3 linked regions of the Tamandua tetradactyla genome follow. The protein of the gene in region 1 interacts with the protein of each later gene in a pairwise test. Links are inferred from orthologs where the notes say so. Each region holds a gene or a part of one and is shown on either strand. Other genes may lie near its edges. The genes, in order: MOB3C, FAM118A and ZBTB10.

What was found.
Region 2: the proteins of MOB3C (region 1) and FAM118A interact in binary tests that used the Homo sapiens proteins (3 or more experiments, as listed by UniProt). The link is inferred for Tamandua tetradactyla from reciprocal best matches to the Homo sapiens genes MOB3C and FAM118A.
Region 3: the proteins of MOB3C (region 1) and ZBTB10 interact in binary tests that used the Homo sapiens proteins (3 or more experiments, as listed by UniProt). The link is inferred for Tamandua tetradactyla from reciprocal best matches to the Homo sapiens genes MOB3C and ZBTB10.

The regions. Positions count from the first base shown.
Region 1 is NC_135328.1:176,226,022-176,236,244, forward strand, and holds the start of MOB3C (MOB kinase activator 3C), read left to right. Parts: upstream 1-5,114; 5' UTR 5,115-5,326; intron 5,327-8,487; 5' UTR 8,488-8,508; coding exon 8,509-8,926; intron 8,927-10,223. UniProt on the Homo sapiens protein: May regulate the activity of kinases.
Region 2 is NC_135333.1:39,588,588-39,599,146, forward strand, and holds the start of FAM118A (protein FAM118A), read left to right. Parts: upstream 1-5,493; 5' UTR 5,494-5,683; intron 5,684-6,155; exon of another isoform or gene 6,156-6,357; intron 6,358-10,559.
Region 3 is NC_135332.1:124,290,546-124,300,862, forward strand, and holds the start of ZBTB10 (zinc finger and BTB domain-containing protein 10), read left to right. Parts: upstream 1-5,854; 5' UTR 5,855-5,888; coding exon 5,889-6,863; intron 6,864-10,317. UniProt on the Homo sapiens protein: May be involved in transcriptional regulation.

The sequences.
Region 1 (10,223 bases):
ATACAATGCAATTAATTAAACCTACAGAACTTACACAAATTTTACCCATTTTTTAAAGACTAATTTTTCTTTTTTTCCCTTTGGTTTATAGTTCTATGAATTTTTTTCACAATGTATAGATCTGTGTCATGGTCAGGTTCATGTGTCAACTTGGCCAGGTGGTGCTGCCCTGTTGTCTGCTCAGGCAAGTGCTGGCCTGTCCGTTGCTATGAGGACATTTCATGGAGTTAAATCATGACCACACTGGCGGCATCCACAGCTGAATGCATTTGCAATCAGCTAAGGGCAGTGTCTTCTGCAGTGAGTGATGCTTAAACTAATCACCAGAATACTATTAAGGAGGACTCAGAAGAGACGATCACTGTTCCTGCTTCAGCGAGCCAGTGTCTCCTGAGAGTTTGTTGAGGACCTTCATTGGAAGGTCAGCTCAATTGCCAGCTCATGGCCTGCCCTACAGACCTTGGACTCTACATCGCCACGGTTACATGAGACACTCTTATAAATTTTATATTTACAGATATCTCCTGTTGATTCTGTTTCTCTAGAAAACCCTATGTAATACAATCTGTATAACCACCACCACAATCAGGATACAGAACTGTGATCACCCAAGGAAACCCCCTCATGCAACCTTGTCGTGGGTGCAACCTTGTCGTGGGTGCATCCTCCTCCCAGCCCTAACACCCAGCAACCACTGCTCTGCTCTCCATCACTATAATTTTGTCATGTGGAAAGGTTATATAAATGGAATCATATAGATATAAAAATTTGATTGGATTTTTTTCACTCAGCATAATGGCCTTGATACTTATCCTAGTTGTTGTAAGTATCAACAGTTTGTTGGTTATAGTTCCTGAATAGTATTCAATTTTAAATCCCTGCAGGTTTCCCCTCCCTCTTTTATCTTCTTGTCATTTATTTGTTGCGAATTTATCTTGAAGAAACTTTCTCATTCTGAATTCTGCTGCCTTTATCCCTGTAGTATCATTTCATGTGTTCATGTATTCCCAGGACTTCCTGTAAGTGGTAGTTAGATTTTAAGCATTGGTCAGAATCAGACAGGCAAGGGCTCTGTGGCCACCACTCCATTCCCACTGGTAGCTTTGAGACAGGAGTTACTAAACACACTTGGAGAAACAAAGCTGTGGAGGAAGGATGAGAAGGCCATGGGGACTGGGGCAATCTGAGGAGGCTTCCTGTAAGAGAAAGGCTTTGAACAGCGGTAGTGATCCAGGCAGCACCTCAGGAGAGGAGGAGCAGATACGGCAGAACTTCCTGTGCCACCTTCTTAGAAAGTCCTATGAAGGGCCGAACTTGGGACACTAAATACTTACCCCCCTACTACCACCTCTGCTCCTGGGCACCCCGAGCTGAGCACTAACCCAAATGGTCAGAGAGCATGTGCCTGGGAAAGGGACACCACCCACCAGGGTGGGCCATATTGAGGATCAGGTCAGGGCGGCTGTGATACTGTCCTAAGGCACTTCTTTGTATACCAGGCTTCCACCACAGCCTCCAGATGTCTCCTTCCCAAGACAGAAGACCCTAAAGCTGAAGAGGTCTCCACCCCAAGGGTAGTGGGGAACCAGAAGAAAGGAGGACCTTGGAGCAGAGAGCATGGAGTCTGGAGATCTCTGAGCTGGGAAGGTGAGTACAACCATCCAGGCTGCAGGGTTGGACAGCATTGATGTACCGACTGTCTCCTCCTATGGTCCTGGATCTCTGCCCACTGCCCTCCAGGACCACGGAGAAGAAGTTCAAGCTCTCTTCTACACAAAAACCCACTGGGGGGTTGAAGGCAGCACCTCCAAAACAGACTGGCCACAGTCCTTGCTGCTTACAGGGGCTATCACATTTGATCATTATGGTTCTTCTGTGGGGCAGATGTTATTTCTATTTAAGAGAAGGGAATATATGTTCAGAGAGGGTAAGTACCTTCTTCAAGTCACACAGAATTTGAATGTACATCCTTTTCAACCTTGTCTTCCTCTGTCATATACCCTTAAGCCTGTCTTCTTCAAGTTAAAGGATGTTCCTTTTACTGCTATGTGGGTGTCTGTTGCTCCCTCCTCGACATCCGGGTTGGAAGATTCAAGATGGGAGATCCCACTTCCTGGACAGGGAGAGGCAGAAGCTGAAATAGGCATTTGTCCATAGGAAGGAGAGTAGGAGAGGGTTCAGCCCGATCAGTCTGTAGGAGCTTCCAGATGCCTGGTTAGAGGAGCTGGGAGCATGGTAGCTCATTCCTAGAGGGATCTGAGGATGGGTGGGGGCTTTCTTGGCATAAATGGGGCTGGGAGCCCCCCAGGGAGAGGCCACTCTGTTTCAGTGGAGCCACTGGGTACAGGCCCAGCATGGGCAGGGGCAGGATGCTGGCTCTGATAGTAAGGCTGGAAGATGCTTTCATGGTGCAGAGGAGACTAAGGCCCAGAGAGGGGCAGGGCTTTCCCAGAGACACACAGCTCAACAGTGACAGAATCAGAACAGGATCCCAGGTCACCTGGTCCTGGACAGCACCCCAGTGCAACTCAGAGCTCCCATATGCCTGGGTTATGCAGTAGAAGATGGTACATACCCTCCCAGGTCTTCACTGACTCCTGGCTGGACAGAACCTCCCTGCACACCTCCACACTCCCACCAAGCTTCAGAGATGTGGCCCTTGTTGGAGCCCCTAGGGAGTTACTAATATTCAGTCTTATGTAGATGCACAGTGCTGTAGGTTATAGGGTGTGTTAGAGAGTCAGGACTAACCCAAGGTCACACAGCTCATCAGAACCTTTTACTCCAAGGTCTGGGTTTCTTCCCAGCCCCAGCAGAACCTCCTGGAAGAACATGATCCTTCTAGCCCAGACTGAGAAGCAGCAGCAGGGCCAGATGTTTGAGAGATCCATCTCTGGCCATCCCCAACCCTTCTCCCTGCCTCCCATCCCGCCTTGCCACCCTGTCAGCTTACACTGAAGCATACATCTAGGGCTTCTGCAGATAGCCTGGAACTTCTGAAGTCCTTTTAAAATGGATCTATCTCTATTTCCCACCATGTAAGATTTTGTACTTTTCACCCTTTAGCAGGCAAACTTCTGCCTAGCCTACAAAATCCAGCTCAGATGTACAGAAACTCACCATGCACAAAGCCACAGAGGTCACATCAAATTACAAAGAATCTTGAAAACCATGATCTCTGACCACAATGCAATATAATTAGAAGTCCACGAAAAACATAAACCTCCCATATGTTGAGGAACTAAAAACATACTTCAAAATCATCCATGGGTTAAAGAGGAAATTACAATGAAATCATGAAATATTTAGAACCGAATGATAAGGAAAGCTTAAGCAGTTTCTAAGTCAATTTCTGTGAAGTCAGCTCCGACCCCAACTATGCCAAGTATCTTCTGTTGCCCCTCCAGATGCCCTTTCCACCCTCTGCCACCCTGCTTTATACCCCAGGGAGTCAACCTCTATGGGTTATGTCAACAAGTCACAGGATGTCTCGTTCCTGGCTTCTGCTAGGATTCAGTCAATGGAGTAACTGGGCTGGAGATGAGCCTGTGGGAGGTGAGGGAGGCTCTGATTTACTCCCAGGCTTTCCCTGTGATTGCTGTGGGCTGGGTGTGCTCCTCAATCTTAGGCCACAGCTCCTGTCAGTCAGCCCTGTTCTCATAGTTCTCTCTTTTTCCCCTCGCTCCTTCCATTTGGGGGTAACAGCTACACATTGCTGCTGCCAGCCCTTTGGTGGTACACTATCCATGTATACTCTTAAATAGTGTCTTCATGAAACACTCCTCAAAATACCCAGTTTGAATGGTCCATGTGTTCCCTGCAGAAAACCACTCTTTCTAAGTGCATCAGTCCACAGCCCTGTTCTCACTGCTGTATGACTGAGCTCTGACCTTGTGTGGCTTGTGTGTGTTGTCACCCCCCGCCAGTCTGTCAGCTCCTGAGGTCAGCAACTGGGTAAGCTTCATCCCCCAATTCCCTGCTAATCAGGCAACAGACTCATGCTTGATGGACGATATTGATTAGGATAGCGAATACATTTGAATTTGCCCCTTACACACTAGGACGTGCAAATGTTAGGTTATAGGGGATTAGGGGCAGAGTTAAGAAGCAAACATAAAAATACACAGAATTTTAGACTGGGGCAAAAATAGATGCTCAACAAAAGAATGGCTCCTCATTTCTCTTAGCTGGGATTTTTAAGGATCCAATGTGTCCTCATGCCAGCGAGTGAACAACAGGTCCAGACACAAAGGAAGAACAGCACGGCCATCTCCCAGTTCTCTCCTCCCCCACCCCCTCCCCCTCCCTTCTCACTTCCCCCCTTCCAGGGTGACTTCTCCCTCCCAGCCTGCAAGGCCGCCAGCCTTCCCTCCTATCCCATGATGCAGACATTCAACTAGTCCCTGGGCCTGGGGGCCACGTGTGCATTGAGGTATGTTATATCTGCCCTCAGGGGAGAAACCCATGTAGAAAAGTAGGGAGGAGGGATCATGTCTTGCAGGAGGGCAAGAAGGCATTCCAAAATGGGAACAACCAGGACAGAGGTCTGGAGGTGGGAAATGGTGTGACTTCAAGTGGAGAGTACCATCCACCCAGACTGATCAGGAACCCCAGCCCTGGCAGAGAAGGAGAAGTCTATGAACTGAGCAGTCTTAGGGGCCAATGCTGGGCCTTAGGGGCTCAGCTCACAATTCCTGAGTCATTCATTCATTCAGCAAATGAGAAATGTCTGCCGTCCTAGCCAGACACCCTGCCAGGAGCTGAAGATGGACAGGACAGACCCCATCCTTTCCATTGAGCTCAGGTACAAGTGAGACACATGATTCCAGAAGGATAAGGAAACCATTTGTCTAGCAGCTCTTTTGTTTCTGCCCTAGTCTGTCACTTCATGTCCCTGACGCACCACGAAGCTGGGCTTGTTCCCATTTTACAGTCGAGGAAGCTGAGGTTGCTTCTTTGGTAGAGGCCCAAGAAGACTACGAGAGGGCTCAGTCAGTCCTTTACCCAGCGGGAAGCTGGGAGCCCGATATGGACTTTCCGGAAAGGCGGGACTGAGCGTGGCTGTGTATTGGGGAGGGGGGGACCCCTTCCTCCGCCCCCTCCCCGCCCCTCGGCCGCGGCGTGGCGGGGTCGGGAGGGCCGGGGCGGAGCTGGCGTCGCCTTGGGGGCGGGAGAGCGACCGCCGGCCAGGCAGGACAGGCGAAGCCACAGGCGAGAGGACCCGCACCGGGAGGATCGGCAGACGGAGGGCGGCCCAGCACGCTGGGGATGTGACCCCCACGGCCGGAGCAGGACTCGACCTATCCCACCCAGGCGGAGCCCGCGAGTGAGCGCCCCGACCGCCCGCGTCCCCGCCGCGCGCCCGCCTTGCTTCCACTTTCATTTCCTGGGCTGCCCGGCGTGGCGCCGTCCAGAGGCGACCTGGGTTCGAAGGCAGGCGGGCCACAGTCCCGGGTCCGGGGTCTGAGGCTCACGACTCCGAAAGTTGGGGCTGGGGGCGCGTGGGGTGGGGCGGGGAGGCGGTGGCTGAGGGGGCGTGTCTTCGAGAGCGGAAATGTCAGGCTGGCTCCTCTGGGTCCTAAAACCTATCCTGCCCGACAGCTGGGCGGGGTCAGAGGAGGGGTGAGAGGGTCCAGGGGGAGGCAGAGTTCTGGCATGGGTGGCCGAGCGCCGCGGGAAAGACCATGGAGTCTCGGCTTCTTCTTGTCTCTTGTTCTCCTGTCAGCACGGCGCTCCCCACATCGTACAGCCTCAGGCTGGATTCTTGGTTCAAACTGGGGCTATGAACCTGCTGAGAATTTGGGTCAGGCCCGGAAAGTGGCAGGTGTGGCTCTGGCTAAAAGTCGGAACTAGGCAGGGCCGTCCTGCCTTCTTCCTTTGGGAAGCCCAGATGCGCACCAGAGAGAGTAGGCGCGGGTGAGGGCGCTCTGGGAGAGGGAGAGGGAGAGGGACTGGAGACAAGCTGCATGGATAGAAGGGCTCCTGCCCTGTGTCCAAACCCCCCTCCCTCCAAAAGCTCACATGTTCCTGGGGAGAAGACCTGTTTCAAGTTCACTGGTCAGTTACTGCGGGAGGGTGGGTGTATTGGAGAACAGGAAGTAGGTTGTTCCCTTTGGTGGAAAAGATGTTTCCCCTCCCCTCCCACTCCTCACCTCTCCCTATCTCTCTACCAGACCATCCCACAAAGAAAAATAAATAGTTCTTTACTCGGAGTGAGGGATTAAGCCTTGCCCCCTTGTCCCAAACCTGCCTGTAACTAGCTGTGTGACCTCAAGCTTTTCAGGTTCCCTCTCTGGGTCTCAGTTTCCCCAGAGACTGTACAAGAATGTACAAGAAGTGGGCTGGACTAGCTGATTTCTCAGGGCTATTTCCTACTCTAAGATTCTGGTTCTAAGTTTTCCTTAAAGCCTGAGCATTGACTATGTGCTGGGCCCTGACTTAGGCTCTGGAAGGGTGCTGGGGCAAGGACTTGGTGGGGGGCAGCAATGGTGAAAGAGTAGTCTCCAAACAAGGAGAAGCAGGACCGTGGGGCTGTGGGAGGAGGTAGCATTCAACCTGTCGTCAAGCAGAGAGACCAGTGTAAGAAAACACACAGCAGGAGAGTGTGGGATGCGTTCAGGGATCAGGAAGAAGCCCAGGGCAGTTAGCATAGGAAGATGGGACATGGGCCAGGAAAGGTGGGGTGAGGTGTCGAATGCCTGAGGATGGGTCTGTTTGTAACTGTAGAGGGGGCCACATGAATGTGGAGAGCCCAGAAACCCCCATCCAACTGCAGTGGGTGTGATTTGGGAAGCACCTGCCATAAAGCGGAATTTAGAATGGGAACAGCAAGTAAAGCAGGGACATAGGCTCCTCGTTGGTCGGGAAGCTCAGGTCCCACCCTGTAGACATCTTGGGTGAAAAGTCGAGGGGCTGAGAGATGGATACGATGGCACCTGTGGGTTTTTTTTAATTTCCGTGGGGACAAGATCCTGATGGGAGACGTGCCCTACCTTCCAGAATCCCCCTCATGTCACTTGATTGTCGCTCATTCTGGCCTGCTTGTTATGGGTACAAAGAAGGACATTTGTTCCAAACAGTTCCTCTGCCAGCTTGACTTCATGCCTGAAGTGACCCCCACCAATCCATGTGTTTGGTTACTCCCACTTTTCGCCCATTATTGCCTTAATTCCATCATCCCTTCCCCAATCCTGCCCCACCATCACCAGAGATGTGAGGAAGGAAGATGCTCCAGTGTCAACCAGTTGGCTGAGGCCAAGGTCAGGCCTTGTTGGTGGTGGTAATCAAGCCTCAGTCTAGGATAGGGTCTGTACCCAAACTGACCAGGGACAAGGTAAGGTCAGAGTTCAGCCTGGGGCCAGAGCCCAAAACTTAACCTGTAATCATTAGTGGCTAAATTCTAGTCTCAGCCCATAGCCTGGGTTTATATTTCCCAAGAGCTCACAAATTCACAGGGGAGATGAAATGACTATTCTGAGAGTCCCAGAAATCTGGCCTCTATCGGAGTGACCCAGGAGGTTGCATGGGCCAAATCCGTGCCTGCTACGGGGGTCACCCAGCAAGTCAGTGGTGGAGCTGGGATTAGATCACAGGAGTCCTGCCTCTGAGCCTGGGGCTCTGACTGCTGTCCTCAAAGTCTGTTCTGAGTCTGGGATCCTGAATTCTAAGAGGCAGAGCAGATTTGTTTGAGCTTTAGATGGGCCCAGGTGAGTGGATCCAACCACACTCTTACTACCACCCAGTGCCTGGCACATAGCAGATGCTCTTAGACTGTCTACTGAATGTCAGGTGCAATGGAAGGGGCCAGAGCCTGGCTCAGGTTTGGGGCTGGAGGAGGCTGGCTTGGAGGGAAGGATTTCTAGCCACTGTCAGAAGAAACAGTGCCCTCGGAGACCTGCCACCGTCCCCTTTCCTCCAGCCCCTGCAGCCACCTGGAAGCCGTCCAGCTGGCTGCATCAAGGCCCCTTCCTCTTTCAGGGTTAAAAAAAGGAAAGGACATTTTTGGTAGAAATGTCCGTCCTGCTCCCTGGGAATCCCCGGTGGCCAGATGGACTACGGGATATCCCAGAGGAAGTTGAAGGCAGGGGCAGGGGGGCCTCCCCCATGCACAATGCAGCCAGGCTCTCCCACGCTGTACCAGCTGGCCTATAATGGGCTCCCAGAGGTCATTTTGTCCGGGCCCCTGCCTCCCAGCAGGACTGCAAGGAGCCTCTGTGACCTCTCTGATGGTCAAAAAGTCTGATGAGCACCTGCTAGGAGCCCAGGCCCAGCTCTCTCTGAGACATGATAACAGCAGAGGGGAAACAAAACAAGACGGGGAGGGGTTGTGACTTGGCAGGGGTGAGAGTGGTGAGGCCCATCAAGATGCCAGGGGAGGGTGCAGCGGTGGACTGAATACTCTCGGGTGACAGGGAAATGACGTGTTGGAAAGTCAAAGCCATTTGGTAAGGTCCTGACCACTCTGTAACTTCTCCTTGTCCCTGGCAGGACATCCCCAGGGCCGTGGCCATGGCCCTGTGCCTGAAGCAGGTGTTCTCCAAGGACAAGACATTCCGGCCACGGAAGCGCTTCGAGCCGGGCACAGAGCGCTTTGAGCTGTACAAGAAAGCCCAGGCCTCACTCAAGTCCGGCCTGGACCTGCGCAGCGTGGTGAGGCTGCCGCCCGGTGAGAACATCGAAGACTGGATTGCTGTGCATGTGGTGGATTTCTTCAACCGCATCAACCTCATCTACGGCACCATGGCTGAGCGCTGTAGCGAGACCAGCTGTCCCGTCATGGCCGGCGGGCCCCGCTACGAGTACCGCTGGCAGGATGAGCGCCAGTACCGGCGGCCCGCCAAGCTCTCGGCGCCCCGCTACATGGCGTTGCTCATGGACTGGATTGAGGGGCTCATCAACGACGAGGACGTGTTCCCCACACGCGTGGGTGAGCGCCACCCGACAGCCGGGTCAGGCCAGGCCAGGTTGGGAGGGAGCCACCAGGAGCCCATTTTGCAGATGAGGCATTTCATTTGATGCAGCCTCTGTGTGACAGGGACATGGTTTTCATTCCCATTTTGTAGAAGAGGAAAAGTGAGGCTCAGAGAGGTTAAATGTCTTGTTCAGAGTTAGGCATCTTATGCTAGGACTGCCTGGCTTCCAGTTTGGGGTTCTCCTTGCCTGAAGCTTGAGTGTCCGTCCCTCCAGAGACCACCCCAGTTGGGCCACAGACACTGATTCTCAGAATCCTCCAGGCCACAGGGCACCAGAAGAGGTCCATGGCAGGTCCCCCCTGCTTGGGCTGATCTGACCTCCCACCTCCTGAGACGTCCCTCCTACTCTGGGCCTCAGGAAAGGAAACGAGGTGGGAAGTGGGCAGGCCCAGATACTATTTCTGCCTCAGATTGGGGCTCTGAGAGCACAATTTTTCTTTGTCAGACCCAGGCTACAGGGGCCTTTTCTTATCTCAGCAGGGCAGCCTGGGCGGGTGAGGATGGGGGGAAGTGGGGAGTGATGTCAGCCTTGCCCTACTTCCCCAGCCAAGGGCAGCAGGAGGCAGGGGTGTCAGCCGATGAGCTGAGCAGGCATGACTCCGTTTTCATCACAGCAGCCCCACCTGTACCCTGGGCCCCACCACCACCCGCACTCATGCTGATCCCTATGGAGGCTATGGGAAGGACTGGAAGCAGAGATGGGTGGGGTGGGGTGGCCAAGCCCAGAGGGGAGAAGTCTGAATGTCAAGAGAAGCTCTGGGTACTGAGTCACAATTAAGTGTCTGTAACTCCTCCCCAGCCAGGCAGTGGCCTGCCATATCCTGCAATACCATGCTCAACAGCGGGTACCTTCATTTTACATGGTTTTGAGAAGACTGAGGCTGAGATAAGGAAAGTGTACTGAAATGGGCCAGATTTAGAATGGGAGCTCAGGTCCCTTGGGATTCAGGCCCCAATCTAAGTGGGCAGGACAAGTCTGAGGAACCTGGGCTGGACCTGGAAGGGCTCTCAGAGAGGCAGGACTCAACCCTTCCCAAGAGCACTGGGGAAGAGGCCCCTCGGCCAGGTGTGAGCCTGGATCTGGGCTCTTACACCCTTTTAGCCGTGCCAGGTGTCTGTGCCTTAATCCTAGGACAGCTTTGCCACAGCAGAGAAGAAGACATAGCCTCCCAAATCTCCTTGCTGAGAGTGGGAGGTTGTGCAGAAATCATGCCTTCTTCACAGATCCCAGAACTGCCCCCATTCATCTCT
Region 2 (10,559 bases), on another chromosome or scaffold:
CTGGTGGACTCTGCTTCTTGTGGCTATGTCGCTCTGCTTTGCTCTCTCTGAATCTCCCATTCTCCAAAATGTTTCCTCTTTTATAGAACTTCAGAAACTAATCAAGATCCACCCAAATGGGTGGAGACATGCCTCTACCTAATCCAGTTTAACAACCACTCTTGATTAAATCTCATCTCCAGGGAGATGATCTGATTACAGTTTCAAACATACAATACTGAATAGGGATTAGAAGAAATGGCTGCCTTTACAAAATGGGATTAGGATTAAAACATGGCTTTTCAAGGGGACATACATCCTTTCAAACCAGCACAATCCCCAAGGGAAGCAGAGAGGGCACAACCTCTGCAAGGTCTGCCATTGTTAAAAACTCATGCAAGATGCAGGAAGATGGCAGAGTAGGGTAGGCTGATTTCACTCCTGCTCCGTGGGAAAACAAGAGAAGGGAAGGAAAAGACGACAGGGACTGCAACCCAGGGGGTGACTGATCAAGGAGGGTCTTCAGCATTCTATAGGGAGGTCCTGGTAGAGAGAGGAAAGGGGGTCGGGATGGGGAGAACAAGGCGAATCTGTTAGTTTGTGACCCCACCAGGGGCAGGTGGCAGCACATGGGGAAGTGCAGATCCAAGGAAAAAGACTGTCCCTCCCTATAGGATACCAATCTCCAATCTAGCCTGTGCCAGCAGCTGGCTGGGGAGAACTCCCTGCGTAACCTTGAAGCTGGCTGTACCTGTAGGGAGCCCAGGGGCATGCCAGCCACCCACAGGAGTGGCCATCCTGTCAGGAGCTACAGGCGGCAGATCTGCCAGATGTTGTGATCAACTGCCCTGTCCCCAGTGCTGGGACCAGCTGTCCTGCCGTGCATGCCATCCTGCCCAGCTGGCCATTCCAGGTGAGCCTGAGGGGAGGAGGAGGACGTGGCTCAAGAGCACCATCTTCTAGGAAGAAGTAGTCAGTGCAGTCTGGCAAACTCCCTATCTGCCTAGGTTTGTCTTTTTATTTAATTTTTATTTTATTTTATTTCTTAAAATTATTTTTATTTCTATTTCATTATTTATTTGTTTTCTTTCTTTTCTGTGGGCATACATCTGAGTTCATACCCAGTATATCTTGGGGTGTCTCCTTCTAGATTCAGGGACTACTATTGCTGAGGTTTTTTTTTTCTTTTTGGGTGCATGGACCAGGACTTATGCCCGGGTCACCCGCATGGTGGGCGGGCGCTCTGCTGCCGAAATACCCATGCACTCCTGCCCAGCTTTTAAAAGACCCTTAAGTAGAATTACATCCCCTATATGGGATCCAGGCTTTGCTTTAATGGGGAATTACTGACAAACCAACTGCAAAATGGGACCTTTAATGCAAACCCAAGTAAATTCAAATCTTTAGACAAAGGAAGGAAACCAACTTGCAAAACGTTATTAAGATAATCAAACTTTCTGAACACTACAGAAAATCACATGCATGCTCATTCTGTAGGCTTGGATACTTCCCACCCCCCCTTTGAAAAGCAGGTCTTACAGGTGGCTTGAGCCCCCTTCCTATACAAGCTGCTTCCCACATTTGGTGTCATAGGTGAAAGAAGTAGAGTCCAGCCCTCTTTCCAGCAGCATGATTCATGGAGGTCCCAGGAGATTGGAGCTTCCAGCTTATAAGAGGCCTTAATCACAGCTCCTGATACAAAAGCTAAAGGGACCAAACTGATCTAAGGAAGATGAGCAAACCTTCTTGGGGACCCAAGAGTAAGTGAACAAATGAATAATCATTCTACCCATTTGCTGGGTCTGGACTCAGCTTCTGGGGTGGCACTTTCTAATTGCCCCAGAGAGTATTAGCACCCTCTCTACTTCCTGGAAGACTCTGCATTGGGCAAAGCAGGCAGGCTTTCTGAAGCTAAAGAGGCAGACAGGTCTGACTGACCTACCTACTGGCCAAGGGACCGCAGGCAAATTCCCTGGCCTCTTGGAGTCTCAGTTTCCTCATTTCTAAAATAGCAACTCTATTAGTGTTCTGTGGCTGCTATAACAAATTACTACAGACAGGGGGGCTTAAAACAACAAAAATGTATCCTCTCACAGTTCTGGAGGTCAGAAATCTGAAATTAAAAAATAGTAGTATACACATACAAGCACACATATGACTTCCATTTGCACATCTCTCAGGGCAGCCCCCATTGATGCCATCACGGCCACCTGCAACACAGAGAGGACTCGCATCTGGGCCCTGTATTTGAGGTGCCAAGCCTTGCCATGTCACATGCATACAGTCAATCCTTTGCCCATTGCACACTGAATAAGACATGCTTACCTGGATGGGCGGGATAGGCGCCTCTGCTTCCCATGACACCTTGCCAACTAGCCCTGCCCATCCCTTATCTACTCTGGGGATGGTCAAGGTGGCTTGGTAGCAGTGCCCCACTCAGTCCTTTTCCAGGACCCAGGGCACCTACATCTCTCTTGAGTACAGGGGAGGGGAAGGGTTAGGGGAGTTTGTTCCTAAGGCATCCCCTCCTGCTGGCCTTGTCTTTGCAAGGCAGTGATTTGGGGTGCAGGGGCTGAGACCTGCAGGCTGTGTTTTGGATGGGGCCGACTTGGCTGGAGGGTTTCAGGCATAGCCTACCCTGTGCATAGATTTCTTGGATTCCACCACCCCAGGAACTTCAAGGATGTCTGCCCCAGGGCCGCCTACACCCAGGGTCTGGCCTCCGCCAGCACTCAGCCCAGAGTCCGGTTCTCAAGCCCATGCCACCTCTCTCAGGTCCTGGTCCCCTGCACCCGGAAGTAGCTCATGAGCTGCCCTGCACTGTGTTCCATCCTGTGACCATGGAGGAGGAGCTGAATGGAGAGAGGATGGTGACACATGCGGGAGATGGGGTGCGCAGATGCCTGGGCAACCTCAAGGGGCTTCAGCATCCCTGTCTGTTCAACTGGAATGAGAACGAGGGTGGTGCCCTCACAGGCTTGTTCCAAGATGCAGATGAAGGAGCACATGCAAAGCGCTTTGGCAGGCGCTGCCATGCACAGAAACCCACAGCTGCCTCACCACTTGGTGTTATGGACTCTGGGCCCCCAAACTTCACAAGCTGCTAAAACTCAGAAGACCCATGTGGATGACAAGTTCAGGCTTTCTCTGTGGGCCGGGGGATGTTAACAGCCAACTTGAACACTAGACAGGAAAAAATATACAGAGAGAGGAAGTAAGAATTAAATGTGGCTTGGCCAGGGTGTGGGTGGGTGTGTGGATCTGGGAAGGACGGGAAGGGGAAGTAGCTTCTGAGCCCATCGGTTCTTATTCAGAGAAGAGAAAGACTTCCAGTGGCAGAGAAGGACTTGGATAGGGGGACATACGAGTCATAAGAATAGCAGGGGACACTAATCCTGTGCATGCTCCTCTGCCAAGCCTGCCCATGTGTGACCTTACTTAGTCCTCTCAATCACCCCGAGAGGCAGGTACTGCTAGCACCATGGTTTTACAGGCAGAAACTGGGGTGCAGATGGATGAGAAGACACAGCCCTCAGGTGGTAGACCAGGCTCCAGACCCAAGCAAGTGTCCTGCTCAGCCTCCTGGGAAGTGTATTTCTTTCCTTTTCTTTTTTATTGAGGTTTTATATATATACACAACATAACCTTTCTCATTTTACAATCCAACTACCAGCATACGATGTGTTGGCATTAATTTCCATTCATGATGTTGTGCTATCCTCACGATCATCTATCACCAAAATGTTTCCATCACCCCAAATAGAAATTCTGGACCCATGAAGCATTAACCCTCACCCCTCATAACCTGTAATCTACTTTCTAACTTTATGTATTTGTCTATTTTAGTTATTTCATATAAATGAGATAATACAATATCTGTCCTTTCGCATCTGGCTTTATTTCACTCAATGTAATGTCTTCAATGTTCATCCATGTTGTCACATTGTTCCAGTTTGCTAGCTGCCGGAATGCAACACACCAGAGACAGATTGGCTTTTAATAAAAGGGGATTTATTTCATTAGTTCTTCAGAGGAAAGGCAGCTAACTTTCAACTGAGGTTCTTTGTTATACAGGAAGGCACAAACTGATCTCTGCTGGCCTTCTCTCCAGGCCTCTGAGTTCCAACAACTTTTCCCGGGGTAATTTCTTTCACATCTCCAAAGGCCTGGGCTGAGCTGCGCGTGCTGAGATGAGGTATGCTGAACTGCTTGGCCTGTGCTACATTGTGCTCTCTCATTTAAGCACCAGCCAATTAAGTCAAACCATCATTCATTGCAGCAGGCACGCCTCCTAGCCAACTGCAGATACAATCAGCAACAGATGAGGTTCATGTACCATTGGCTCATGTCCACAGCAACAGAACTAGGTGCCTTCACCTGGTCAAGTTGACAACTGAATCTAACTACCACCCACATGTTTCAGAATTCCATTCCTTTTTTATGCCTGAATAATATTCCATTGTATGGCTATACCACATTTTGCTTTTGCTTTCATTGGTTGATAGATACTTGGGTTTCTTTGAGCTTTTCACAATTGTGAATAATGCCCTGTGAAGATTGGTGGGAAAATTTCTGCTCAAGTCCCTCCTTTCAATTTTTCTGGATATGCAACTAGAAGTGGGATTGCTGGATCCTATGGCAATTCTATACTCAACTTTCTGAGGAAGTGCAAAATTGTTTTCCACGATTTTACATGTCCATGAGCACAAGCATTTCTATTTTTCTACATCCTCTCCAATGCTTGCTATTTTCTGTTTTCAAAATAATAGCCATTGAAGTGGGTGCGAAGTTGTATCTCATTCTGGCTTTGATTTGCATTTCTCTAATGGCTGATGATATTGGGCATCTTTTCCTGTGCTTACAGCCATTTGTATGTCTTCTGTGCAGAAATGTCTACTTAAGTTCTATTCCCATTGTTAAACTGAATTGTTTGTATTTTTGTTGTTGAGTTGTAGGAGTTCTTTATATACTCTGGATATTAAGCCCTTATCAGATATATGGTTCCCAAGTATTTTCTCCTGTTCTGTGGGTTGAAAACGTATTTCTTGATGAAAGAATAGCACAAGAAAGATTACTCATGCCCAAGCATTTGGGCATCGATCGTGTGCCCAGGGCTGTGCCAGCTCTGGGGGTCCAGGGGTGAACAACGCAGACAATGTTCGGGCCTCAAGGAGCCTCCGTTCCAGTGGGAAGTGACAGTGATCAAGGGACGGAATTCCGGATAGCGACAATGGCCACTGAGCTACCGGCGGCTTCGGCAAGCAGGGACCCGTGGCCCGCCGGAGCCTGCGTGATCTGCGGGCCGCAGCTGCCAGGGCCCTCGATCCTGCTCAACGCTGAGCAGGGCCCGGCAGAGCGCGCCCGCCCCCCCCCCGCCTTTTGCACATGCAAAAGAGAGACGCAGGAACGAGCGCAGGTGGCCTCAGGCCCCGCCCCCTCCTCAGAGAGGCGGGGCGAGGGGCCCGGGACCACGATAAGCCGTTGGTTTCCAGGCGGAACTTTCGCGCGGCGACCGAGAGCCCCCGGAGGAAGGCTTTGCGGCGGCGCCGCGGCGGGCAAACGTGGAGGCGAGGCTGAACGCGGTACCAGTCGGGCTCGGGCTGCGCCTCCCGCTCTCGCCGCTGGTGCGCGCGCAGACGTCGTCAGCCGCCGAGGAGGGGAGGCGGGCGTGCGAGCAGAGACCAGCGACTTGGATTCGCCGCAGGTAAGGGGCCCGGGTCGGGGGAGGCCGGGGTTCCTGGCCGAGAGCCCTCAGGACCCTTCCTCTCCCAAGACCCTTCTTGGGTCCCCACCGCTTTGGAGTCCTGACAGCCTTCAGGACCCTCGGACCCCGAAACCCTCCACGATTGTCCCTAGACTCGTAGACTCCCTGAGGACGTCCAGCCGCCTCAGGGCCCCGAGACCCCGACAAGATTCACTGAGGACCCCCGAGCCCTGAGACCGCTGAAGATTTTACCCCACCCGGTCCCGAGCCCTCATAATCCCCTTTTCCATGGGACTACTTCCTCCCCCCAGGATGCCCTACCCGCAGACCCCCTTCCTGACCCCCACCCTGCAGGGACCCTGGCCCCGGAGACTCCACCCCCTTCCCGGAGGAGGACCCCGGCCCCTTCTCTCCTTGCCCCTGGGAAGTCCCTGGAGCGCCTTCACCAACCTTTGGACTTGTTGGCCCGCAGCTGTCGACCACCGACCCTGAGGCTTAGCAGTCTGCCTTGGCTTCCCCTCCGCGCCCAACTCTAGGGCAAGGGTTCTCACACTTGAGGTCGCTGGACCTGTGCGGTGTCCAGGGAGTTCCCTGGGTTTGTGAATCCTTAGCGATAATATAAAAGAAGTGCAAGCATATAACAGGTCACCCGGATGTCCACGTTCTTCTAACAGGTACTGGCTGTGATTTCAGTGTCTGTGTATTTACATGTGTCCATACTATTGAAACCAGAGTAGGGACAGTGTGTAACTTTTACTGCTCTTTGGTTAGACTCATATGGTGACAGAGAGCAGTCTAGAGGGAGAGGACAGGAGATTTGGATGTGGTAGTGGGAGGCAGAACCAAGTTGCTGAAGGGGTCAGGGCAAACCAGGATGCTTTCAGGTTGTGTCCATGCAGGTCTTGAGGTTGTCGTTCTTAGAGCCAACGTTTTTCTGAACACCAGTTGGCTCCAGGAATTAGCACTGAAGATGGAGATGGCATAGTCCCTGCTCTCTGGGCTTAGTTGGAGGGGAGTGGGGCGAGTAGGTTGGACAAGAGGTGGTTTGTAAGGCAATAACAATATAGTGGCATTAAAGCCAGCAGGGTGGGGGGTGGGATTCTCAGGAAGGGGTCGTGTTAGGAAGGCTTTCTAGGAGGGAAAGAGATAATAGGTAACAGGAAAACTGACTATTGGAGGTAGAGCTTGAGGACAAGTTTGCCAGGGCCACCTCAGGCAAAGGCAGAGAGGCATGCCAAAGCCCATCAGGTTTTGGAATTGGGAAAAATGTGGCTGGAGCATAGAGAAATCCTGGGGGATGGCTGGAGATGTGTTGTTTCCCTGATGAAGATCAAACCCAACTTTCTAAGGCTGGTATGAGAGGGAATTGTTTCCTGAAGCCCCCACCCCCACCCCGTGCCGTTGGTGCTTTCTAGAGTTACCACTTTTACTCCTATGCCCCAAGTCACTGAAGATCCCAGCTGAGACTGAAAGAAGATGGTGGGTCAGTGGAAAGGAGCGAGGAAATGAGTAGACTAGAATGGGAGAATCTGGGAAATTGGGCCGAGTGTTGGATCCGAAAGGGGTGTGCCCAGCACAGAGGCTGGACCCACCAGATGGAACCGAATTATATGAGCTTCTGAAGCCACGTAGAGGATTGATTTGAAGAAGGGAGTGGGAGGCCATTAAAAGGTATAACTATGAGTAGGAGTGGTGTGTGTGTTTGAAGAAGTGCTCTCACTATTTGGGGGAAGCAGGGCCACATGTGAATAGTGTAGGGAACCTGGCCCAGGTGGTGGCAGTGGGGACCATGACTTCCACAAGCATAGCTAAGCTTACAGTCCAGACCCAAAAGACGTGCTCATTCCTGTCTGAGCCTACAGTTTCCTGCCTGGAAATTGACGTAGGTACTTTGTACTTCCTTTTAGGCGAGGTCTTTGTATTTCTCACCTCGGGGCTCAGAGCCTTTGTGCCTTATCAGCTGAGTGTCTGTGTCACAGGGAGCCAGACATCCCACAGGAGATGCACATGCAGCACAGCTGGGTGCGGTGAACAGAGGCTGGTTCCCAGTGATGTGACCTGATCAGGAAGGGTTTGGATGCTGGATGCCAGTATCCTGCAGGAAAGGGAAAGCTGCTGAAGCTGAGGAGAGACAAGTTTAGATGTGCTGCATTAGAAATATCACTCTGGAGACCGTGTGGGATTAGAGGGGCTGAAACTGAAGGCAGTGGGTTTTAGGAGGCCAGACAAGAAGCTGTGAGGGCTTTAAGGCAGTGGCAGAGAGTGTGGATCAGAAGACATTTGGAAGGAAAATCTACAGGATTTCTGTTTGGGTGAGGGAGAAGAGACTCTAGCGTAGCGCTGTGCAGTACAGCTTTCTGTGATGCTGAACATGTTTTGTGACTGCCTCACCACCCCACCACAGGGACTTTGAACACTGAGAACCTGACTAGTGTTACTAAGAACTGAATTTTAAATTTTATTTAATTTTAATGAATGAAATCCAGTTAGGACATGCCCTTGCGGGTCCAGGCTTGTACTTAAATGTTACCCCATCTGAACACTTCCAGCAACCCTGGGAGGTGAAAGTATTGTTCTTTTTAAAATATTCTTATTGATAAATCTTCACACACGAACATTCCATACATGGTGTATAATCAGTGGCTCGCAATATCATCACATAGTTGTGTATTCATCACCATGATCATTTTTTAGAACATTTACATCACTCCAGAAAAAGAAGTAAAAAGAAAAAACTCATACATATCGTAACCCTTACCCTGCCCCCTCATTGACTACTAGTATCTTTGTCTACCCACTTTATTTTACCCTTTGTCCCCTCTATTATTTGGTTATATTTTATCCATTTTTTTTACTCATAAAAGGAGCAACAGACACAAGGTTTTCACAATCATGCAGTCATGTTGTAAAAGTTATATCGGAAGGCATTGTTCTTATCTTACAGGTAAAGGCAGTGGAGGCTCAGAAAGAGTAAATTATGTGCCCAGGTTTTAAGTGGTGAACACAGACTTGTGCCCAGTCGGTTTAGCTTCTCAGGCTGCTCATTTCACTATATCTGTGTTCCTTTCCCCAGGAGCCAGGGGCCATCTGGGTGGTGGTGATGTTTCCCCTGCAAGGCCTGCCTTATCTGCTCCCTGTAAAGTTAACTGGGACAGTTGTGTGATAAGCAAGCACAGACCAAAAAGAAAACTGTTTTGCGCTGGTCATTTGGCCTGAGGCTTCTTCCTGCCTTTAGGCTTCCTAAAGGTGGCCATTTCTCTTTGCAGTTTTGGAGAACTAGTTGGGTAAGAGAGAAGGTGGACCTGCAGGTCAGCCAAAGAGATGTAAACGAGTGTCTAAGCTGAATTTTGAACTCCCACTTGCCAGGTAGTGACTGGTGTGGTGGAGGGTGGGGCACGAGCCTGGAGTTAGTTTATAGCTCACTCCTAGCCCTTGGGGAGCCTAGACTAAGTCACGTTGCCTCCTAGGGTCTCAGTTTCCACTTCTACCAAATTAGGGTATTTGGCACTGTATAACCTCAAGATCCTTTCAGATCTAAAATTCTGTGATTGTAAGTTTCCTCATGGGTTGCTTCCTGGAATTTCTCCTGTTCCTCTCAGGGTGGATACATGCTGGTGGGTCAGCATGCTGTTGGCCTCTGTTTTGGTGTTTCACCATTATTAGCTTATCATTAAGTGACATGTTTATTTGAGTTGGGTGACACGTCACATCTGATGGGCAAAGCTTTAACAATGGCAAGGTCTGCAGGAAAATATCAGGTATGTTTATTTGCCATTCTGAGCAGCCTCGATGTTAGGAACAGTGCAGGACTATATACTATGATTGTCAAGCTTTTAAAGGTTCATATTAAATGCCTAACCCTTGGTGTAAAATGAGAGGTGATTATAGTATATTTCTTAGTGTTGCAGAGGGGATTAAAAGAGATAACTCATGGAAGTACTTAGCACTTTCCCTCAAATATAATGAGGGCTCAAAAAGGTGGCAGTAATTAATACTGCCTTTGAACTGAAATATGTCCTTTACATTTTTATTAGCGTTGGGTTTTATTGTTTCCTTATTTTGGGCATATATGCCCAGGCAACTGTTCAGAGGCACTGGTTTCAAGAAGCCAATTAATGCATTTTGATCATTAAGAAACAAGCAATTTCTGGTAATAATTCATTTCAGGTGTGTAAAAAGTGATCCTCTAAGTAGTATTATTCAAATTAAGGTTTTGCTTTTTTGTATGTTGAAAAAAAGCAGCTCATCCTGAAGATCCCTTTTTAGCAATGACTGAGCTTCAGTTGTACCACATGTGGTTAAATTAACATGGACTTGTCGTGATGCCTTGAGAAAGCCATGTTCACTGTAAAGCCCACTAATGGTAAGAGAGACCAGCTGGGTGCTGAGGCAGCTTGTAACTAATAGACAGACATTTTATTATGAGTTTCACATGTTAGTCTCATTTAACTCTGTGGTGGAATTCCCTTTTAGCAGATTTGGAAACTGAGGTTCAGAGAGGTCTCCTGACTAGGCCAGTGGTGGACTCACCTTGGCTCTGGAGCCTGTGTTTTCTCAGCCACATCCCCAGGTGCTGCTTCCCCGAGCTGGGAGTCTTGTTTCGGTTTCAGGGCTAAGCGTCTCTGTAGTTCTAAAAGTTTAATTTTTGTCCCTTTGTCCCTTGTTTCCAGTTCAGATGAACTAAGTCATGCTAATTAAATTCATGAGAGACACATCCATTAACCAGATCCCAGATTATTTGTGGTTGGAAACAGAACTGCCAGATCTACTTCAAAGCTTATTCTTTCTTCCCAGAGATTTCCCCTCATGCCTCGTAGCCCCGAGTCTACATTGGGAGCTCATTGCTACGGAGAAGGCTGCTTGTGAGAATCCAGTC
Region 3 (10,317 bases), on another chromosome or scaffold:
GGTAGGTGGTCAGAAAAAAAAAATGGATCTAAGGATGAACGTAGGTTCATGATGAGAAGGAGGGAAAAACATAGATCAGGGAGCCACTTGTGCTCCTTAGAAGGGATCAAAGCAAATGAGAAGGACAGAAGGAAGAGTGCTGGAGGGTAGGGTGCTGGGGGAGGAGAAGGTCCCCGCATGAGATAAAGCTGAAGGTGTAGTTGGGAGCCAGGCTTTGTGGGCTCTGCAGGCATTTAAAAAGTGTTTTGATATGTAGAACAGAAAATAATTGAAACCTTGATAAGATTTTAAGCATGAGAGAGGGGATCAGGAATCATGAGTGCAGGTGGGGGTGATAGGATCAGATCTGCATTTTGAAAAGATTATTGGCTGTCCTGTAGACAATGGATTGGAGGGCAGGGCCAGAATGTCTGGCATATTGTGACAGATGCTTCCCTGAAATAGGCATGTAAACTTAAGCTTTTGTAAAATAATGTTTAAAGGAACTGGAGTTTTCTAAGAAGAGAAACATCATGGTTTTTATCTTTTGAAATGCGTTTATTTTCAGGTGGCAAATTTGGTTCACAATAAATGGAAAAAGAAGAATGAATAGTATTCTTCCCCACAAGGGGAAAAAAAAACATGTCATTGATGATCAAAGTTCATTGTTACCATCTTTCTCCCCAAATGAAAACAGCTTTATTGATTTTCTTTGATTATATACTCAATATATAATTCAAACACTATTGTACTCTATAACAGTTCAAAAACGTATTAAGAAAGTTTCTTAAAAACTGAAATACTCTGTTACTGACATAATTATTGCTCCTATTCTGATGAACTTTCTTTTAAATTCCTTTCCATGCCTGTATTCACATATGGACTTATGTATCTGCTTTAGGGACTATAAGCTTCTCTCTCTCTCATTTATATATTTATATGTGATCTTATCTAATCACTGGTATATATTTTTTTATATGCAGTTCTCTGATTACTGGCCAAGTCAGCACATCTTTTCATGTTTACCAGTCACTTTATTTCTTATTTGAATTTCTAATACACATCCTTGGTGCATTTTCTTCTTTTGCTACATTTCTTTTTCTTATTGATTTAAGAGCCCTTTGTGTATTATTACTATTAAGCCTTTCTCCTATGAAAATGTTTGAACAAGAAAAAAAAAGTTAAAAATTCAGTATAACCTGTAATTGTGTAGACATAACATTGTTAAGTGCATCCTCTGTACTTCAGTAGCTAAGGGTAACTGAAGATTGGAGGATATTGTTAGCAATCTTACAAACTTTACATCTACTTCTGCCCCATCTGATCACCATGAGCAGGTTATTAACGTTTTTGTACTTGGTTTTCTCAGTTGTTAAATAAGGAAAATATCTTCCTGTTTCAGTGATGGTAGCAAAATAGTGTAAATGAAATTAACACTGCTGAATTATATACTTGAAAGTAGTTAAAATGGGAAATTTTATGTTGTATACAGGTTAACACTACAAAAGTTTTAAAAAAACACAGAACTGTACAACACAAAGAATGAATCCTAATGTAAACTATAAACTTCAGTTAATAACATAATAATAACGTTTCACCATATGTAACAAACGTACTACACTAATGTGAAATGTTAATGGGGAAAACTGCTTGTACGGGAGGTGGTTATATGGGAACTCCACTTCCTGTGTAACTTTTTCATTAACTTTTCTGCTACCAAAAAAAAAATCCACCATGATTTAACTCACAAGGAGGTTGTGTAAGCTGAATTTTTGTAATCTACTGTAAACTGCACAGTAAACAGCACTAATAATACAGTAAGATATTTATATTCAACTATATGATTATCATTGCTTTTAATGTAAATGCAATGGAAACATTAGCTTGATACCTTTAAAGATTTTTTTTTTTACTTAACTGAAATAAAACAGAAGAAAATGTTGCTTGCCAAAACAGTTTGCAAGGGAAGGTATAGCAAATTGTTCAATAAATATTTACTAATTGTCTACTACTACATGGCAGGCTGGGGATGGCAGTGGGTAGGGTAAGGCATGTATTGAGTGTACAATGCATGGTCCCTATCCTCAAGTACTTCATTTTGGTGGATGACCCATGTGAATTCTACACACATCTGAAGAAGCCAAGTGTTTGTAGCAAGCTTCATCTACTCAGGCAGTTACAGACAGTCACGCTCAACTATGAAAGATGAACTGAATCAGGTATAGGACATTGGCCCCATCGCACAGTTAAGGTGGGCTGGTATCAGTTTTACATTCTCAAATGAAATCTGGGGACAAATTGGTTGGGGATGCCCCATTCTTGAGGGGTTCCCCTGGTAAGAATAAGGGGGAATTCCCTTAAATATGGTAGAACCCCAACAGCAAATACAGGATTTAGAGTATAGAACAGATCCCTGCTTGCTAGTAGGAGACTAGAAGGTGTGGGGGAATTTAAAAAAACTCCATTTACAGAGTAGGAGATCCCCTTTTGCTACTTAAAGTTCCCTTGGTATAGGGTATTCTGTGAGATTGCCATTACTATCCCTGTGATCTTTGGTTCTGATTCGATCTTCCCTCAGGGTTTAGAGAAGAAAACTCATACACATGCACACACATAAATATATAAACCCATATACATATATATACATATACATACAACACTGTTTGGCTGTTAAATAGTTCATTGGTCCTAGATTTCCACAATTTTAGGCCATTTGTTTATACCATTTGAAACTGGTGTCATTCTTTCCTAATTAGTCCAAGCTTAAACCTAATTCCAGACAGAAGACAATGGGGATCTTATAAAATATAAGACAAGATAAATGTCTGGGAAATTTATCACTCCTGATACAATTAGCAGCATTATGGATTCAAAACATTTTTGGTGATTCTGGAACTAACAGAAAGAACAAATAATACAAATAGCCTAAACTTACAAAATATGTATTAGGCATAAAAGATGAATAGATGTAAAGATTTGAACTTAACCGTTTTATAACGGATATAAACTTTAATGTTGAAGAAAAATTCTTAAATCCATTTTCAGTTCCTAACACTTCCTCAAACCTAGATAGGTAATTAACTTCAGTAATTTTTCCCTTTTTACAGGGGAGAGGGTTGTTATGGTTAAAATATAATAGATAATCCATTTCCATGCAAAGTGCCTGGAATTATAAAACAAAACAAGTGACTGAAGGACAAAGCATGATATTATTCGTTCCTGTATTACATGGAAGCACATATTACATACAGTCAAGTGGATATAATCTCACAACTGCAGGTCACAAACTGGGTCAAGGTCACAGGTTCCACTGTCGTAAACTTTCATATAAATAAAACAAAGCAAGACAAAACAACCAACCACAAAACGTACCACCCTGAGGACCTTTTATAATTTCATGCTCTTGATTACCAGTGGCCAGCAGACAACGTGGATGGCTCAGATGAGTGCTATGTGATCATTCTGGGAAAACAACTCAAAGCCAAAATCTTTGTATGGCAGGTTAGTAATGCTATTCTTTTTATTTTTTTAGTGTTAATCTTTACATTACAATTACGTTTACTCTATAAGGTAGAACTTATGTTTTTTTGTTTGATCTACAACACTGCTCATTTATAAAGATGCTAAAAGTACAGTGAATTAGGTGGGTTCTGCTTTGAATACATCTATGCAATCACTAATATTCATGAGTTTGGATGTGAATGCCTGTGTTTAGCCCATTAAAGAATATTAATATAAATGGTAGTTCATAATATATTTGGGAAAATTTTTAATTAATCTTCTAAAACACATATTTCACAGCACATAGTCAAAGTCTTTAAAAGACAATATACAATATTGTTATTTTTAAAATGGAAAAAGAATAATAAATATATGCTTATGTTCTTGAAATCAAGAAACATAAAACTAGAAGGCCTAAAAACTGTAACATAAGCTCTGTTTAAAACACATAACTTTAAGTGAACAATGTAGAAATTTTACAGCCCCAAGAACAGCCCCTCCCACTAGATACAACTGTAAAGAGTTCATAAGTATTCCTCAGTTTTTTCTATGCACACCTTAATGTACTACTATTACTAAATTTAAAAATATACCTTACTATATAAACATGATTTTTCATCCTCAACAATGTATCCTGGATGCATTTTAGTTTTTCTATTCAACTTTTAATAAATATATTCTTAAAAGAGTAAAAAGCCCCTCCATAGTTTGAGAACATCTTTTTTTTACCTGAAAGGTTTGAAAAAAAAAATTAAGACATTTCACGTTGTAAAATAGTAAAAGGAGCCTAAATACTTGAACATTTACTAAATTTAGCATAGTAAGGAATTTAAAAAATTCCAGCTCAATCTGTTCTTTTAGGGTCTCTAAATTCCACATGCAATGTAAACAGTTAAAAAACAAAAAACACCAAAACTCTTAAAAGTTCATTCTTGTCTTAAAACACCATCTTCCGAGCTGCAAAAGTCCGTATAAGCAGACTCCTCCCCGCTCCTGGGGAAAACCCTGCCTAATATTTATAACGTTATGACATACTGTAATACTCACAAGGTGGTTGTAGAAGTATAAACACGACTAGAGTTATCTGATTGGCTGCTGGTGATGTAACACCCATGTCAATACTTCCCAGTGAACGCACGTGTTCGACCTTTTATTTAAATTTCCATTTCATCACAGCAATAAGACACTCGGGGCGGTGCATTTTCTGTGAAATGATTACAGCCTTGGGCCCGAGGTGCCGCCTCGCACACACAATGCATCAGAGAAGGAGGTGTCCATGGTTGCAACCTCCTCGCGTGAAAGGCACTCCTTGGTCCAGTCTTTGTGAAGGAACAAAATAAGTTCACTTCCTTGGGCACCACCACCCACCCCCCGAGCAAATGACAAGGCTGGAGCGCAGCGCCCACCGCACAATTATTTCCAAAGTCCCAGGTGAACTCGTGGCGAGAGAAGGAAAATGTGCGTCCCGGGCGCGGGTAGGTGCGTGTGGGCAGCGGGGAGGTGGCCAGACCCTGACACTCGCCAGCTGTTTGTCCACCGCGTAGCCCGCCCCGGCCGCACACGCCCGCCCCCTCCCCGAGACGAGACCCCCAGTCTGCCGCCCGGCCTTTTGTCCCCCGCGCGTCCGCCGACTTCCTTCCCCGCGGCCGCACCCCCGCCCCCAGGCCAGAGGCGCGGTCCAGCCCCTTTCCCGGTCCCCTGGCGCCCCCACCCCACCCCGGCCCAGCCCCAAGCCCAGCCCCCTCCCCCAGCCCGGCCCCCACCCTTTCCCCCTCCAGCGGTTACTGCTACCCCGGTGCATTGTGGGCTCACGGTCCGTTGTTCATTTGCCATTCGACCTCCGCCGGGGCCTGGTCGGACGGAAACGCTCCGCCGGCTTTATTGTCGGTTCGTTATGTGGCGGAGCCCAGCAGTTTAACGTGCCTCTTGCTCTCAGCTCCTCGGAAGCCGGCGGCGGCGTTGGGACCCCTCGGCGCGCCGGAGGAAGGATATCTGTTTTGGAGGGTCTGTGTGTGCGTGGGGATTTAAAGCGGGGGCAGCGGAGGGTCCCCCCTCACTCCGCCTCTCAACTTCGAAGGCCCCACGCGCCCCCGGCTAGCTCCTCACCTCCGCCGTCCGCCTCCCTTCTCCGCGCGGGACGCTGCGCCGAGCGCAGCAGGGCGGAGGTGGAGGACAAGGAGAGCGGCCGGAGGCGGCGGCCCGGCGGGCGGCGGCGGTGGCGGACTCGTGAGGCAGCCCCGGGAGCGAGAGCCAGCCAGCCGGGCGGGAGGGCGAGGCCGGGCCCCAGCCCCGCGAGACCCGAACGCCGGGGGCGGGGCGGGGGCGAAGCGGAGGGGGAGCTGCGGGGAGCGCGCGGGACGCGGCCCGAGGCCGGGCGCGAGCCGGGGCACCGGGCGGCGGCGCGCGCCATGTCGTTCAGTGAAATGAACCGCAGGACGCTGGCGTTCCGAGGAGGCGGGTTGGTCACCGCCAGCGGCGGCGGCAGTAGCAGTGGCTCCACGAACAATAACGCTGGCGGGGAGGCCTCGGCTTGGCCTCACCAGCCCCAGCCGCGACAGCCCCAGCCGCCAGCGCCTCAGCAGCTCAATGGGCGGGGGGCCGACGAGGAAGTGGAATTGGAGGGCCTGGAGCCCCAAGACCTGGAGGCCTCCGCCGGGGCGGCCGCCGCCACCGAGGAAACCAAGGAGTTGCTGCTCCCCCAAGACGCGGGCGGCCCCACCACGCTGGGCGGCGGTGGCGCGGGGGGCCCCCTGCTAGCGGAAAGGAACCGTCGGACTCTGGCCTTCCGAGGAGGCGGCGGCGGGGGTCTCGGCAACAATGGCAGCAGCCGCGGCCGCCCCGATACCTCGGCTTGGCCCCTGAGGCATTTCAACGGACGAGGGCCGGCGACTGTGGAACTCGAGCTGGACGCGCTGGAGGGGAAGGAGTTGATGCAGGACGGCGCGTCCCTGAGCGACAGCACCGAGGACGAGGAGGAGGGGGCGAGCCTGGGCGATGGCAGCGGGGCGGAAGGCGGCAGCTGCAGCAGCAGCAGGCGGTCGGGCGGCGATGGCGGGGACGAAGCGGAGGGCAGCGGTGTGGGAGCTGGCGAAGGGGAGACTGTCCAGCACTTCCCGCTCGCGCGGCCCAAGTCCCTAATGCAGAAGCTGCATTGCTCCTTCCAGAACTCCTGGCTCAAAGACTTTCCTTGGCTGCGGTATTCCAAGGATACTGGCCTTATGTCTTGCGGGTGGTGCCAAAAGACCCCTGAGGACGGGGGAAGCGGGGATCCTCCCCAAGTGGGGCATGACGAGCTTTCCCGAGGGACCCGCAACTACAAGAAAACCCTTCTGCTGAGGCACCACGTTTCTACCGAGCACAAACTCAATGAAGCCAACGCCCAGGTACCGTATATCCTGCTCTTACTTTTTCAGATCTCTAGGTAAAGGCTCATCAGCTAAAAACTCCATTTTCCTGGGTAAAGACGTCGTTCCATTTGGAAGAGATGCAGGGAGCTTAAGCGAGGGGGTGGGGAGGGGGGAGTTGAAAAAGCCTGGGAACAAGTTTTCAAAAGTTGTGTCTGTGGAGGGGGAACGGGCGGATGGTGGATGGCAATTTTCTAATCGTAACGCACGATTTATTTCTCCTGATTTTTGTATGACTCCGATTTCTTTGCTGTCTCTTCAGATTGAATGGAAAGAAAGTTTAAGAAAGTTGAGATTGTTGTTTTTAACCTAAAAGATTGACTTTGCGGTCAACAATTTATTAGCTGTGATTTTAGAGAAGCTGCCTTATGTTCAGTCTTTTAAGATTATATGTTGGTGGAAGTCAAATCGGGCAGCTTGCTGAAGAATGCAACACTTTCCTGAACCGTTGACTTTAACCCTTTCAGGAAAATATCCAACCGAAAAAAATTCTAACAGGTCAGGATAACGTTGATATGAGAGCACTGTGATGTGGAGGAAGTTATTTTGGAAAACGCTCCTTGCTCTTGTGAATAGTTTAATTAAAACCATCTCTGTTGAATTTCCTGGGGGAGGGGGGGGGCTTGCTGTTGTTAAACTAAAGCACTTTTATGTTGTCTCCATCTACCTGGATTTTTTTGTGCTGTGAGATTTTCTATAGCTCACCTTTTCAAAAAGTTGCTTATAAATGCAGTTTACGTTAAGTATTTTAAACTTAGCATTTAGAACGGTTTTAAGTGAAGTTACTTGTATCCATAGTTGATTTAGACTGATAGAATTTACCCACACTTCTTGAATAGTTAAGTCCTTAGTAATAAGTAAAGTAAGCTGTTCTTTAATTCTTAGGCTGTGTTTTAACATTTCAAGTTGAAAGATAGTTACCTAGTCTTATCATTTTGATATCACTTTTCAAAGCAGACAGATCTTGATCAGTCCTCAGATTTTAGGCAATCCATAATGGTAGGTGGAATTCATTCTTTCGTATTGGTAGGTAGTCAGATAGTCAGTTGGCTTTAGAAAACCCTTTCGGGTATTAGTCCTTCAGTGTTTTCTGAGTGATCTTGCCATTCAGCACACTTATACTGAAGTTAATTAGGCACCGTCCAATCGCATGGCACAAAAGTTTTTCAGAAGTTAGGCTTTACCTTTTAAAACATAGGGTTATATTTCCCAGTAGATAATGTAGCTTAGTTTTTGCACAAATTTCAGTTGCCTAAGCCCTAGAAGAAAGATCACCTTTATAATGCCCAGAAAGGTTAAGTAACATTGTCCTTACTTGTAGGGTCCTTGGGAATAACTGAGAGGAGAGCCAACAAGCAATAGTTTAACTGAAAAAGAATGAGTTTTAAAGTACATGTGGGTTCGGTCTCAGCTTTCTGCAATTACTAGACTTGCAAGCTTGGGCAGAATGGAATGAAATAGACTTAACATTTCCTTGTCTTCTGTGTGCCAGGCATGCATTTATTAACCTTACTCTGTAAGGTATTTTTTATTCCCATTTTACAGAAGAGGAATCTGAGGCCTTAAAGGTTAAGTAATTTATTCTTGCAGTTATTTAGTAAGATGGCAGATGTGGGGATTTGTGAAATCAAAAAGTTTACTTTTCCAAATAATGGTAGTTTATTTACAAAATTTTAAAAAGGCAATTAGAATGCATTTTCTTAATCTGTAGTGGAACCAGTTACTCCTTATCAGCATAGCCTCTCCCTGTGGGCAAACCTGAATGGAAATGCAAATTATAATTAGATAGCTGTTTAGTGAACCTGAAATCAAAGAAAGGGGAATCAGTTAGATAACCGTGAGGTAAATTTAACGTGATGTGTCCTACGGGCTTGTACTGGCATCGGGAAACTCAGTCCTAGGTGAAGCCTTTTCAAAACTTAATCTCTGAACTATCCCTCCTTTCCCCCTTTTATCCTTCAGACTCCCCTTTTTGTAGATAAATCTATAGGCCATCTTCTTTCTCTTAGGACATTCTTTCATTGGATTGAGGACAATACGGTTTCCTCATTGTTTGTCTAAGGCATGTAAGTCATGTTTGTCTAAGTATATATTGGTCCCCTGGTTAGATTTTGCATGTTTTCACTTGGAATTAATCTTATTCATATATATAGTAATCTTCCTAATTTCAGTCTAAATAAATTTAGGGATATTTTACAGATATCTTGCCATTGGCTCCAGGTACAATTTACGTATCTCTTTGTCTTATCACTGATAGGTTCATGAAATCTCTCCATTTCTTCCAGTGGGCAGAGTTCTGTCAGATGTCGCTGCCCTGTAGACTTTGATTACCAGTAGGAGGCAGTGTGACACAGTCTGTAAGAGCATTCTTGGGCTTAAGGTCAGGTGGATCTGGGTCCTAATTTTACTGTACTTTCCTTACTGTAAGGATTAATTTTTGCAGAGTATATATATGCCAGCACATAGTCCCCTAGTAAAATGATAGCCATTTTTTATTTTCATAACCTGTTTTTTGCAAGTATCAGTAATGAAGTGTTTGTGGCCTGGTACCTTCTGTCTCACTGTCACCAATTTTGTCAGTTTGGAAGCCACTTTCTGTCACGGAATTCTTCTCGATTGTAGAGAGCAAACTTACTCTTCTTATAGCTTCAGAGACTTTCACCATCAGATTCCTTAAACATCCTGAGACATCTTCAAAGAAGCATCTTCTTTGAAAAGCATTAGGCCAAATCTTTGTGTGTTATTAAAGGTTGCTTTTATTTATGCTTTCTGTAATGAAAAGCCCATTTTCATTGTTTCCTTGGTTGTGATCAGAATTGTAGCATGTTCTTAAAAAGTTAATTCTGTTAATTGCATTTTGGATGCTAAGGGCTTTACTCACAGGAAAGTTTTAAAACATGCTATCTGAATTTATGTTCTGGGGTTTTCACTTCCAAGTTATCCCTTTATTCTTTATAAGGACAGAAGTAATCTAGTTCTTACTTTGGATAACAATTGACTATATCTCAGAGTCAAGTTCAATGATTAACTCATTCTGGGTTTAACCATAAGGCTCAGAGGAGTTTAAAATTGTTTTCAGTAACAGTGATTACTACTGTATCTTGCTTCATGCCACCTTCTACCCAATTGTGCAATTTTCATAGCCTAAGCCACTCATTCTATCAACTCCAGTTTTCTAAGCCTAAAACATGCACTCACCCATCTTATTATGTAAATTTAGTAAACATTTCAGAAATTCAGAATTTAGGCTAGTGATTTGTGTAAAATATATATGGATGCCAACAGTTGGAGCAAAGGTGAAGCAGAGATAACCAGCCTTCTTTGTATTTTGCAAAAATAAGGCCCAACAAAATTGTTTTTAACAATTTAGGAAGAAAGTTGGAAAGACCTTTCACCAAGAAGCAGAAATAGATATTAAAGATGACTCTATGGA